Nothobranchius furzeri: one gene and its partner. The protein of the gene in region 1 purifies or fractionates together with the protein of each later gene. This does not show direct contact. Links are inferred from orthologs where the notes say so. Each region holds a gene or a part of one and is shown in the gene's direction. Other genes may lie near its edges. The genes, in order: mkln1 and zmynd19.

What was found.
Region 2: the proteins of mkln1 (region 1) and zmynd19 purify together in Homo sapiens (affinity purification with mass spectrometry; 3 studies listed by BioGRID and IntAct, with this or other methods). This does not show direct contact. The link is inferred for Nothobranchius furzeri from reciprocal best matches to the Homo sapiens genes MKLN1 and ZMYND19.

The regions. Positions count from the first base shown.
Region 1 is NC_091741.1:63,274,034-63,278,310, reverse strand, and holds the start of mkln1 (muskelin), read left to right. Parts: upstream 1-1,193; 5' UTR 1,194-1,255; coding exon 1,256-1,335; intron 1,336-2,714; coding exon 2,715-2,784; intron 2,785-4,277. UniProt on the Homo sapiens protein: Component of the CTLH E3 ubiquitin-protein ligase complex that selectively accepts ubiquitin from UBE2H and mediates ubiquitination and subsequent proteasomal degradation of the transcription factor HBP1.
Region 2 is NC_091746.1:54,509,841-54,514,159, reverse strand, and holds the start of zmynd19 (zinc finger MYND domain-containing protein 19), read left to right. Parts: upstream 1-1,330; 5' UTR 1,331-1,511; coding exon 1,512-1,562; intron 1,563-2,827; coding exon 2,828-2,887; intron 2,888-2,982; coding exon 2,983-3,089; intron 3,090-3,581; coding exon 3,582-3,722; intron 3,723-3,900; coding exon 3,901-4,081; intron 4,082-4,174; coding exon 4,175-4,318; 3' UTR 4,319-4,319. UniProt on the Homo sapiens protein: May be involved as a regulatory molecule in GPR24/MCH-R1 signaling.

The DNA.
Region 1 (4,277 bases):
TGATGTTGTAATATATGCAACATTTATTGTCATCCCAGTACCAATGTGTGCAGCATCAGCATCTCTAAACAAATTTTAGGACTGGTAAATGGAGACTATGACATTTTACATGTAATCCAGATCTGTACGGAAGATAATCTGCATCCAGATGGAGCCTCTCTGTTCTGGTTTCCACATCTGATTTAAATGATAGAGGCTGATATGCACAGAGAGAAAACGGCAATGACTGAAGGACCAGAGAGGAAGGGAGACACAATATGAATCAATGAAACGGCATGTTCTCATCAAACTTTGTACAGCCTTTTTTTTAAATAAGGAAAAGATCAGGGACGATCAAAGGAATGAAAAGAAATCTAACAATTAATCACCAGGTTACCCATCGCCTAGCATTCGAGTGCAAAGCTGCTGAAAATGCTCCAGTGTGTGATCAGCTCAGCTCTGTAGTTCATCAGTCATGCTTGCATGGCTGTAGACTATGTTATGTTTTCTTCATCAAAACAAAGTAAGATTATCAGGGCAGGATGGAAACTGCCAAGTCACTTGACACAGGCCATATAAATCCTATTTATAATAAATTAGCTGCATCAATAAAAGGGAAAGAATGGATTGGAATGTTTACTATGTGAAGTGCCTTGAGATGACTTGTCATGATTTGGCGCTATATAAATAAAATTGAATTGAATGGATAATATAACAAAAAAAAAACACAATTTACATGCAGGAGGCATTAAATAAATGCCTAAACAACATCACATCTGGGATGACAGGAATAAAGGTTTGTTCATTTAATCGCTGGATGATTCACACACTCTGACATTTGTAAAACTGACTCAACATGTAATAAAACACTGAGATCCCCCTGAATAGTGCTTTTAGAAACAAAAGAGTTGTTTTAGACGGGAAACCATACAGTCTACAGCTTGGTAAATAACAATAACATGGATTTGTGAAATGTTCTAATCATAAACATTGACAAACAAATAAAAGGCTTACTGACTATCCTGAAAATGTATTATGTTTTTTTCTTACCTTCTTCAATCTCTAAACTGTGCACCTTTAATGTTTAGCCTGAAGCCGCATTATTTAGATGTAAGAGTGTATGCACAGAAAATCTGGCCCCTTGGCTGTGTTATAAGCTGCTGGTGAAGGATGCATGATGACTCCATGCAGAGTGAAACAGGTGTACTGTCTCTTTAAGAGAGTTCAGCTCTCGGCTTTGCAGCTAGCTTCACACTACCTGCTGTTTTCCAACAAGATGGCCGTCGCTCCTGAGAGTAGAATCCTCACTTTCAGCGTTTTTAAATGGAGTTCATACTCCTCCACATATTTACCCGAGTGAGTACCGTGCACGTTAGTCCCCCTAATGTTTGCATTACCGTCGGCGGCTACAGGTGACCTTCTATCGCCTTCGTACATCGATGTGTTGTCCAGCCGGCTAGACTGGCCTAACCGATCCTCGATGCGAGCCAGCTAACGCAACGCCAGGGACATGATTTGGTTCGGAAATGCGACTAATCGATTGCAACTGTGATACAGTAGCTACTGAAAGATTATTTAACTAACAGGACAACGTCTTAACTATTTCTTGTGGATCTGTATTTGTTCTTTAATGAGCTAAAGTCGTGTGATGTGGTGGACTCGTAACGTAAACAAAGCAGGGCAAAGTTAGATTATTTAAAAGTTATCTGTTTTTAATCCATTGCATGTTTGTGTTTGATTGTTTAAAATAACAGTCTGCTTTCCGGTTGCTGTAGCATATAAAATTAAAACCTCAATTTGAACACAACCGGAGGTTTTATGGATAACTCTAGATGCTAGTACGATAGCTAGACTGTAGCATCTATGCTAATGAGCCTGTTCACCGCTGGTGTATCAGATCAACTGGCGATAAAATCATCAGATGTCTCAGTGAGTAGGTGCCTGGGTTGATGCCTGATTAAAATATTAGGAATCCAAATTCGCCGTTTTAAAATGTTCTTGTCATCATTAACATTTATCAAACAGCCAAATTGTCAGCCAAAAACAACAAAATGGTGCGAAAACCTGTCAAAATGTATTAAACATGAGAACGAAGTTTAAAAAATCTCAACCCAGATGCTGCTCAGAAAGCTGCACCACAATAAAACAGCAGATATTCGAAATTTCACTGGAGATTGACTACATCCATTACATCCAGCTAATTTTTGCCAGAGATTCATAATTTAATAAACGAATAGAATTCAACAACACTAATTATTTTGCTAATACTTTAAAAAGTGTTCATCACAATAAAGCTGTAACAGCAGTCTAACAGGAATTTGCCATGTGTAGAATATCCATTCATGATTTCAAAAGCCCCCCTTGTAGCCCGCTACACCCTGCAGTCCTCCAGCTTTCTCCACCTTTATCATTTTATTCACTTTTAGCTGTATGACTGCAGTTTCCACTTTAATCTCGCCAAAAGAAACCTTTTGATAGTTACAGCACAATAGAAATTTCTGAGACCATGTAAATTATTGAAAGTGATGTATTTTATGTTTGACTCCCTTTCAATGTGTAAACATCTGGCTTTGTTTTCTGGACTCCTGACTTATTTCAGATCTCTGATTTGTAGTGACGAGCAGCAGACTGAGATGTGGAAGCTGAAATGTTTGCCTTTAAATGAGGACTTATTGAATGAAGCAGCAAAATCAACCTGTTTATTCACATTGTGCACTTCTGTTTTATTTATTTAGGAATATCTTGGTGGATAAACCTAATGATCAGTCTTCCAGATGGTCTTCTGAGAGTAACTACCCTCCTCAGGTCAGTTTGCTTGACTTCACTGTGTGAATGAATACTGTATGACTAGTTTGGTCATTATAGGTCATTTTTGACCACAGATAAGGGGGATAAAATGAGGAAATTCTATAGCGTGATAAAAAAAATGTATTATAAATTTCTCAATTATTTGACTCAGTTTCTAATTTACATTTCTTGGTCTGTAAAATTTCAGTGAATGGTCTGGAATGTCCAAAGCCAATTCTTAGATTTTATGTTTGGTTTGGTCTCCAAAACCATTCTCACCTGTGTTTATGAAAAAGACAATGTGGTCTATTTTTTTAGATATGCTGAAAATGTTCCTTTTGCTTTGAAAAATAATGTAAATTAAAGCAGGAAGTGAACAGAGACTATCACTCTCTTCTTTTATGGGATATATTTAGTTGTTTATAACAGAGTTCTAGTGAAATTCTCACTCCCAATAAACAGATGTGATGCTCATTAAAGTGACCATTGTGTTAACTAGTAAACTTAAAGTTACAGAGGAATAAATAATGTTTATTCCTCATTAACTAAGTAGATGTTATGGTTATAAAAATATACTTTAATCTACCAGGAATAATAAACTGCAACTTTATGTTGAAATGAAGAAATTCATAAAAATGTAACCTCTTTCTTTGTAAACAGCACAATGTCATTTTTTGTAATATAACATTATTATTATATAATATAACATTATTATTAGTAATATTATTAATGATGCATAAGAAGTCTAAGAGTTGTGATAATAAGAGACAACTAAGAGTTGTGATAATAAACAGAGCTGTGATTTTTAGGGATTTCTAAAAGGAGATATATTACTGCTTGATTGCAACGAACACATGAAATTGGTAAAATTGAGTATTTTCTTGGTGGTAACAAGTTTAAAGGTATGGAACACTGAAAACATTTTTTATGATTATTTGTGATTATTATCAGTCACTCTTGAGTTTTTCATGCAGGCTGAACATGAAAACAGTCTCCTGCACCTATCTCCTACGTTAGCTTCTGATTAGAAAATCCTGACAGATCTACGTCACACTGTTACTTAACATTCATTTACTCACCCATCTTGACTCACAACAACGAGGGCTGTTGTTGGTTTAGCGTCCAGGAAACAGCAGAGGACATCTTTGCTAGTAGAAGCTAACCATTAGCATTAGCAACTAACTCTAAGCTCCAGATAAAACATCCAAGTTGCAGAGCAAACTGAGTCAGTGGTAGTCATGTTGCTGCTAGCCAATCAGATGTTCGAATATAAGGCAAGGCAGCTTTATTTATAGAGCACATTTCAAACACAGAGGCAATTCAATGTGCTGTACAATTATCAGGACATGTTATGAAAACAACATAAAAACACAAATTAATATACACATAAATACTATTACAGTTTAGAGCTAAAGGAGAAGACCAAGTTACAGTGCAGATTACGGTGGAGATGACGCACGATAAGAAACAATTAATTTAAAGGCTGATGACATTAGGGTTTTTAGTTTTGT
Region 2 (4,319 bases), on another chromosome or scaffold:
CCTTTTAAATTCTAGTGTAGCATTTCACCGTCTATTTTTTTTTTCAAAAAGTATATTTTATTGCATTTTCAGTTAACTGTACATCTTTCACACATTATTATGTTGTATACTGAAAGTACATTCTGTATAAAATCTTAATGGAACAACAGAACAACAGAACAATTTAACAATTTTGGTTGTGCTTCTGGCGATACTCTTCACCATCTATTTTATATCATTGGGAAGGAAATAGATGTAGGACACAATTTTCACGTTTAGCCTACACGTTAAACTCAGAATGACCTATGTTTTTCAAAAACAATAAGTCAAAAATGCTTTCTCTGTGAAGGACCTCTTTAAAGGTGACTAATCAGGATAAATGATTTATACAGATTCATGTATTTCCATGTACAATGAAATTCTTCGCTGCTTGCAATGGATGCCAAAAGTATATGTCAGAAAGGGTTATAGTTTTGGCACTTCTACAAGATCCATTTGTAAAGTTACCCCACTCTTATTTTGGTGGTCCAGTTTGTGACATCACTTCCTCTAGATAGTCCCACTCTATCACAGTATAATTTAGGTTTTTAAACAAATAAGATAAAAAAGAAGCAACAAATCAATCAAAACTATTAACTCTACCAAAGTTACAGCACCATTATTCATGTGCAAGTGAAATAAGTGTCCATAGAGGGAGTGGATGGGGTCTTTGAAGATGGAGGTGACTGTCCTGTTGACTCAGTGGTTATTGGTGGTGGTGATGCTGCTCCCGTACCAAACCTTATCACACAGAGATGCAACAGATCTAATTGACTCAATGATGCAGCTGTAGAAGATGCTGAGGATTCTGAGTGACAAACTTCCTCAGCCCCCTAGGAAGTACAGTAGCTGTGTGGAGCCTTCTTTAATGACTGTGTGGTGTTCAATGCACAGGTGAGGTCCTCACTGATGTGGACCCCCAGGTATTTAAAGTCAAGAAGCATTGTTACAAAAAAACAAATAATCAGCCAAACACAACCCATTTTGCTTTTATATGACAACATTTATAACAATGTTTATTCTTTATAAGTTCATGTTTAATTTTAAATGAAAGCTTTTAGAAAACGGAGATTCCTCCCCTTCAGTGGCACAGAGCCGCCAAAGATTTCGCGCGAAAATGATTGGAAGTGATCACGAGAGAGCATTGACGTCTAAGTTAAAATAGGCAGTCTTAAACGTTTGTGTAATTCTATTGGGCGCAAGGACAGGGCATCGCAGACTAAAACGTGTTTCGATTGGTTGGTTGGAATAGTGGCTCATTCCTTCGATAACCCCGCCTCTCACCACAGCTCGCCCAGCTTTCGTGCTCCAGCGGCCGTGTGTCACCGAGGCTGGGCTGCGGCCGGAGAGACCTGGAGGTAGGGCAGTCACTACACTGAACCCAGAAGTTGCATCGCATCGGGGCAGACGGGCTGCCCTGGCGAGTTCTACACCCCGAAAACCGCCAAGGTTGGATTCTACGCCTCGTTGTGTCAACACCACCCGTCCTCCTGATGTCGGATTTCAAGCTCGGGATTGTTCGGCTCGGCCGTGTGGCCGGGAAGGTGAGCTGGATCCCAGTGCTGCCATGTGCGGCCCGTGGGGAATGCGGAAACCTCAAGTAAATACACTGTTAACGGCAATTTATCGATGCCAGTCAGCTGCCGTAATGATAATGGTGCCGTTGAGGGCGCGGGAGTGGGCTAGTTGTACCGTTTCAGAGTCGTTTGAGCGGATTAGAAAAGCCGGCCGCGTCGAGCCAGAGCCAGTCTGCTCTTCTCTACTCCACCGCTATCACTGTCTTCCTTCAAGCTAACACTAGCTAGCATGTCCGTTAGCTGGTTTACTTCCAGTAACAAAACGTCTACCTGAAACGTGAACACAAACTATTTGTGCTTTTGTTGCTGCTGACACTGTCGTGGCTCGTGGCTGGTTGGGGGTGTGGTGTGACAAGGAGAACTGACATTTTATCTTGTAGCGGATAGGTTAGCATCACCAGATTAGCCGTTAGCCATGGCATCTGGATTAGACAGGAGCTGACAACTAATGAGGGAATCGGTGCCTTGCTTCATCAACGCTAGCCCGTGGTAACATAACACCGGCATAGCAATGCTGCGCTCCACACCTCGGGGCTAAAGTATTGTGATTTATTCCGTTCAAATAACGTAATTGCCTCAGATACACGTGACTTTAAATCGGGGCAGGATGCTGGTGTTGACACCCCTGGCTGCTGCTGCTGTCACTGCTGTCACAAGACACGCAGGATAAACTGCTGTCACCAGTCTTGCATCTCATCCGGCTGAGTGACAGTTTTCCTCTGGTTGAAACGTTTTTATATTTAGTTTTAAAACAGATAATTACGCCTTGTTTCATGCCGTTATTAAACCTCTGGTAGGTTGAAACAGGATAAAACTAGTCATTATTGTGGGTAAGTGTATTATAACTTTTACACACTTGGTCAGTTCAGGATTTGACCTGCAACAAAGGGATTGCAGGTCAAATACATATGCGTCTGAGTGGTGTCATCCTCTGTTTATCTTGCAAACATCAGGTGTGTTGCAAATTTTGAACTGGCACAGATCACTTGATTTAAATCTTTTATAGAGGATGAGCTTGAACCATCAACTGGTAGTGAGTGGAAGTTCTGAAAAGCCCTTTCTAAAAATTTCAACTTGTGGTTTTACTAATAGACGAGCTTAAAAATTGGGTATTTGCTGGCGGCATATTGGATAGTGTTTTTTCATTAAAATCCATTCAAAGTATGTTATGATCACAGCTGTAGATTTTATTGTGAAACTCAAATCATGTCTTCAATTTTTCTCCATTTCAGACAAAATACACTCTGATTGATGAGCAGGACATACCACTTGTGGAAAACTATGCCTTTGAGGTAAACTATCAGAATGTTTTGTACCCCGTTTCCCATTTTTATCGCTAACCACAGCCAAGAAGTTTAAAACGGCTACATTTTCCCTCTATTTTTAGGCACGCATGGAGGTAGATGCAGATGGCAATGGTGCTAAGATCTTTGCTTATGCTTTTGACATCGGAAAAGGCCGCTGGGCAGGAAGACCTCTGCATGAGCTACTCTGGTAAGTCTTTTGTTTTCTACAAAAACAAGATGTTCTCTGTGAGCAAAAATGAATAGTTAACATTATCTTCTATATTTAAGTCTTTATTCCTTGACTTGTAGTAGGAAAAGCCTTGAACCTGAACCAGATTGATAAGAACTTCTGAAAAGAGAAACTGATTCTGTGTACGCCAGGAAAAAATACATCATAAATGCTAAAAAAGCAAACATCAACATTTAAATGGATCCTATACAATGGAAAGTTTTAGCTTGAATCTCCCATACCTAATGAGGACAAATCAACCATCTATATTTCCTTTACAAGAATCTTAAAGGTCATTGGTGTTTAGGCTATTTTGCAGCAAATATTAAAACCATCCTTGTTATCCATTAAGTGCATCTGTAGACTTCAAAAACCAGAAATTTCCCCTGGAGGGTAGGGTTAGCTGTATGTTTAAATAAATCCTCAGTAACTCTGAATGAACCAGTTCTTGATTTCTTTGCTTTTAACCAGGGAGAAGCACAGGGGAGGCATTGCCCCTAGTTTTCAAGTGATTCACATCAACTCCGTAACCGTCGACAACCGGTTAGACAACCTTCGACTGGTGCCGGTGGGCTGGAGCCCCAAGCCGGAGGAGATTTCCAGCAAGCAAAGGTGAGACCACTTATGAATTCTGCTGAAAGGCATGGGGGCAAAAATACTAAACATTCCTGAGAGGACTTCGGTAGCTGACGTTGAGTCACTACCATGACTCACATGTTGAGAACCATACTGATTCTAGCAGTATGGTGGACAATAACTGATGTCTTCTGTGTTTTTGTTTTCCTCCTAGAGAGCAGTCTCTGTACTGGCTGGCCATCCAGCAGGTCCCAGCCGACCCGGTGGAGGAGCAGTACCTAGAGCTAAGCCGCACGCGCTACTACAATGCTAACGGGGAGCTAGTGGAGGAAGAGGAGTGCTCCTGCACTTATTACGAGTGTCATTACCCCCCTTGTTCACTAATTGAGAGGAGGGTGTGTACTGAAAGTTCCGATGTTGATTAAAAAAAAACTTTACTCATTCATTTAGCAGGAACATCAAACCTTAATGATCTCGTCTTTCCACAGCTACGAGAGTTTAACATCTGTGGTCGCTGCCAGGTGGCGCGCTACTGTGGCTCCCAGTGCCAGCAGAGGGACTGGCCTGCCCATAAGAAGCAGTGCCGCGAACGCAAACGGGTACTTGCCCTTGAGTCGGAACCCGAACGATGAT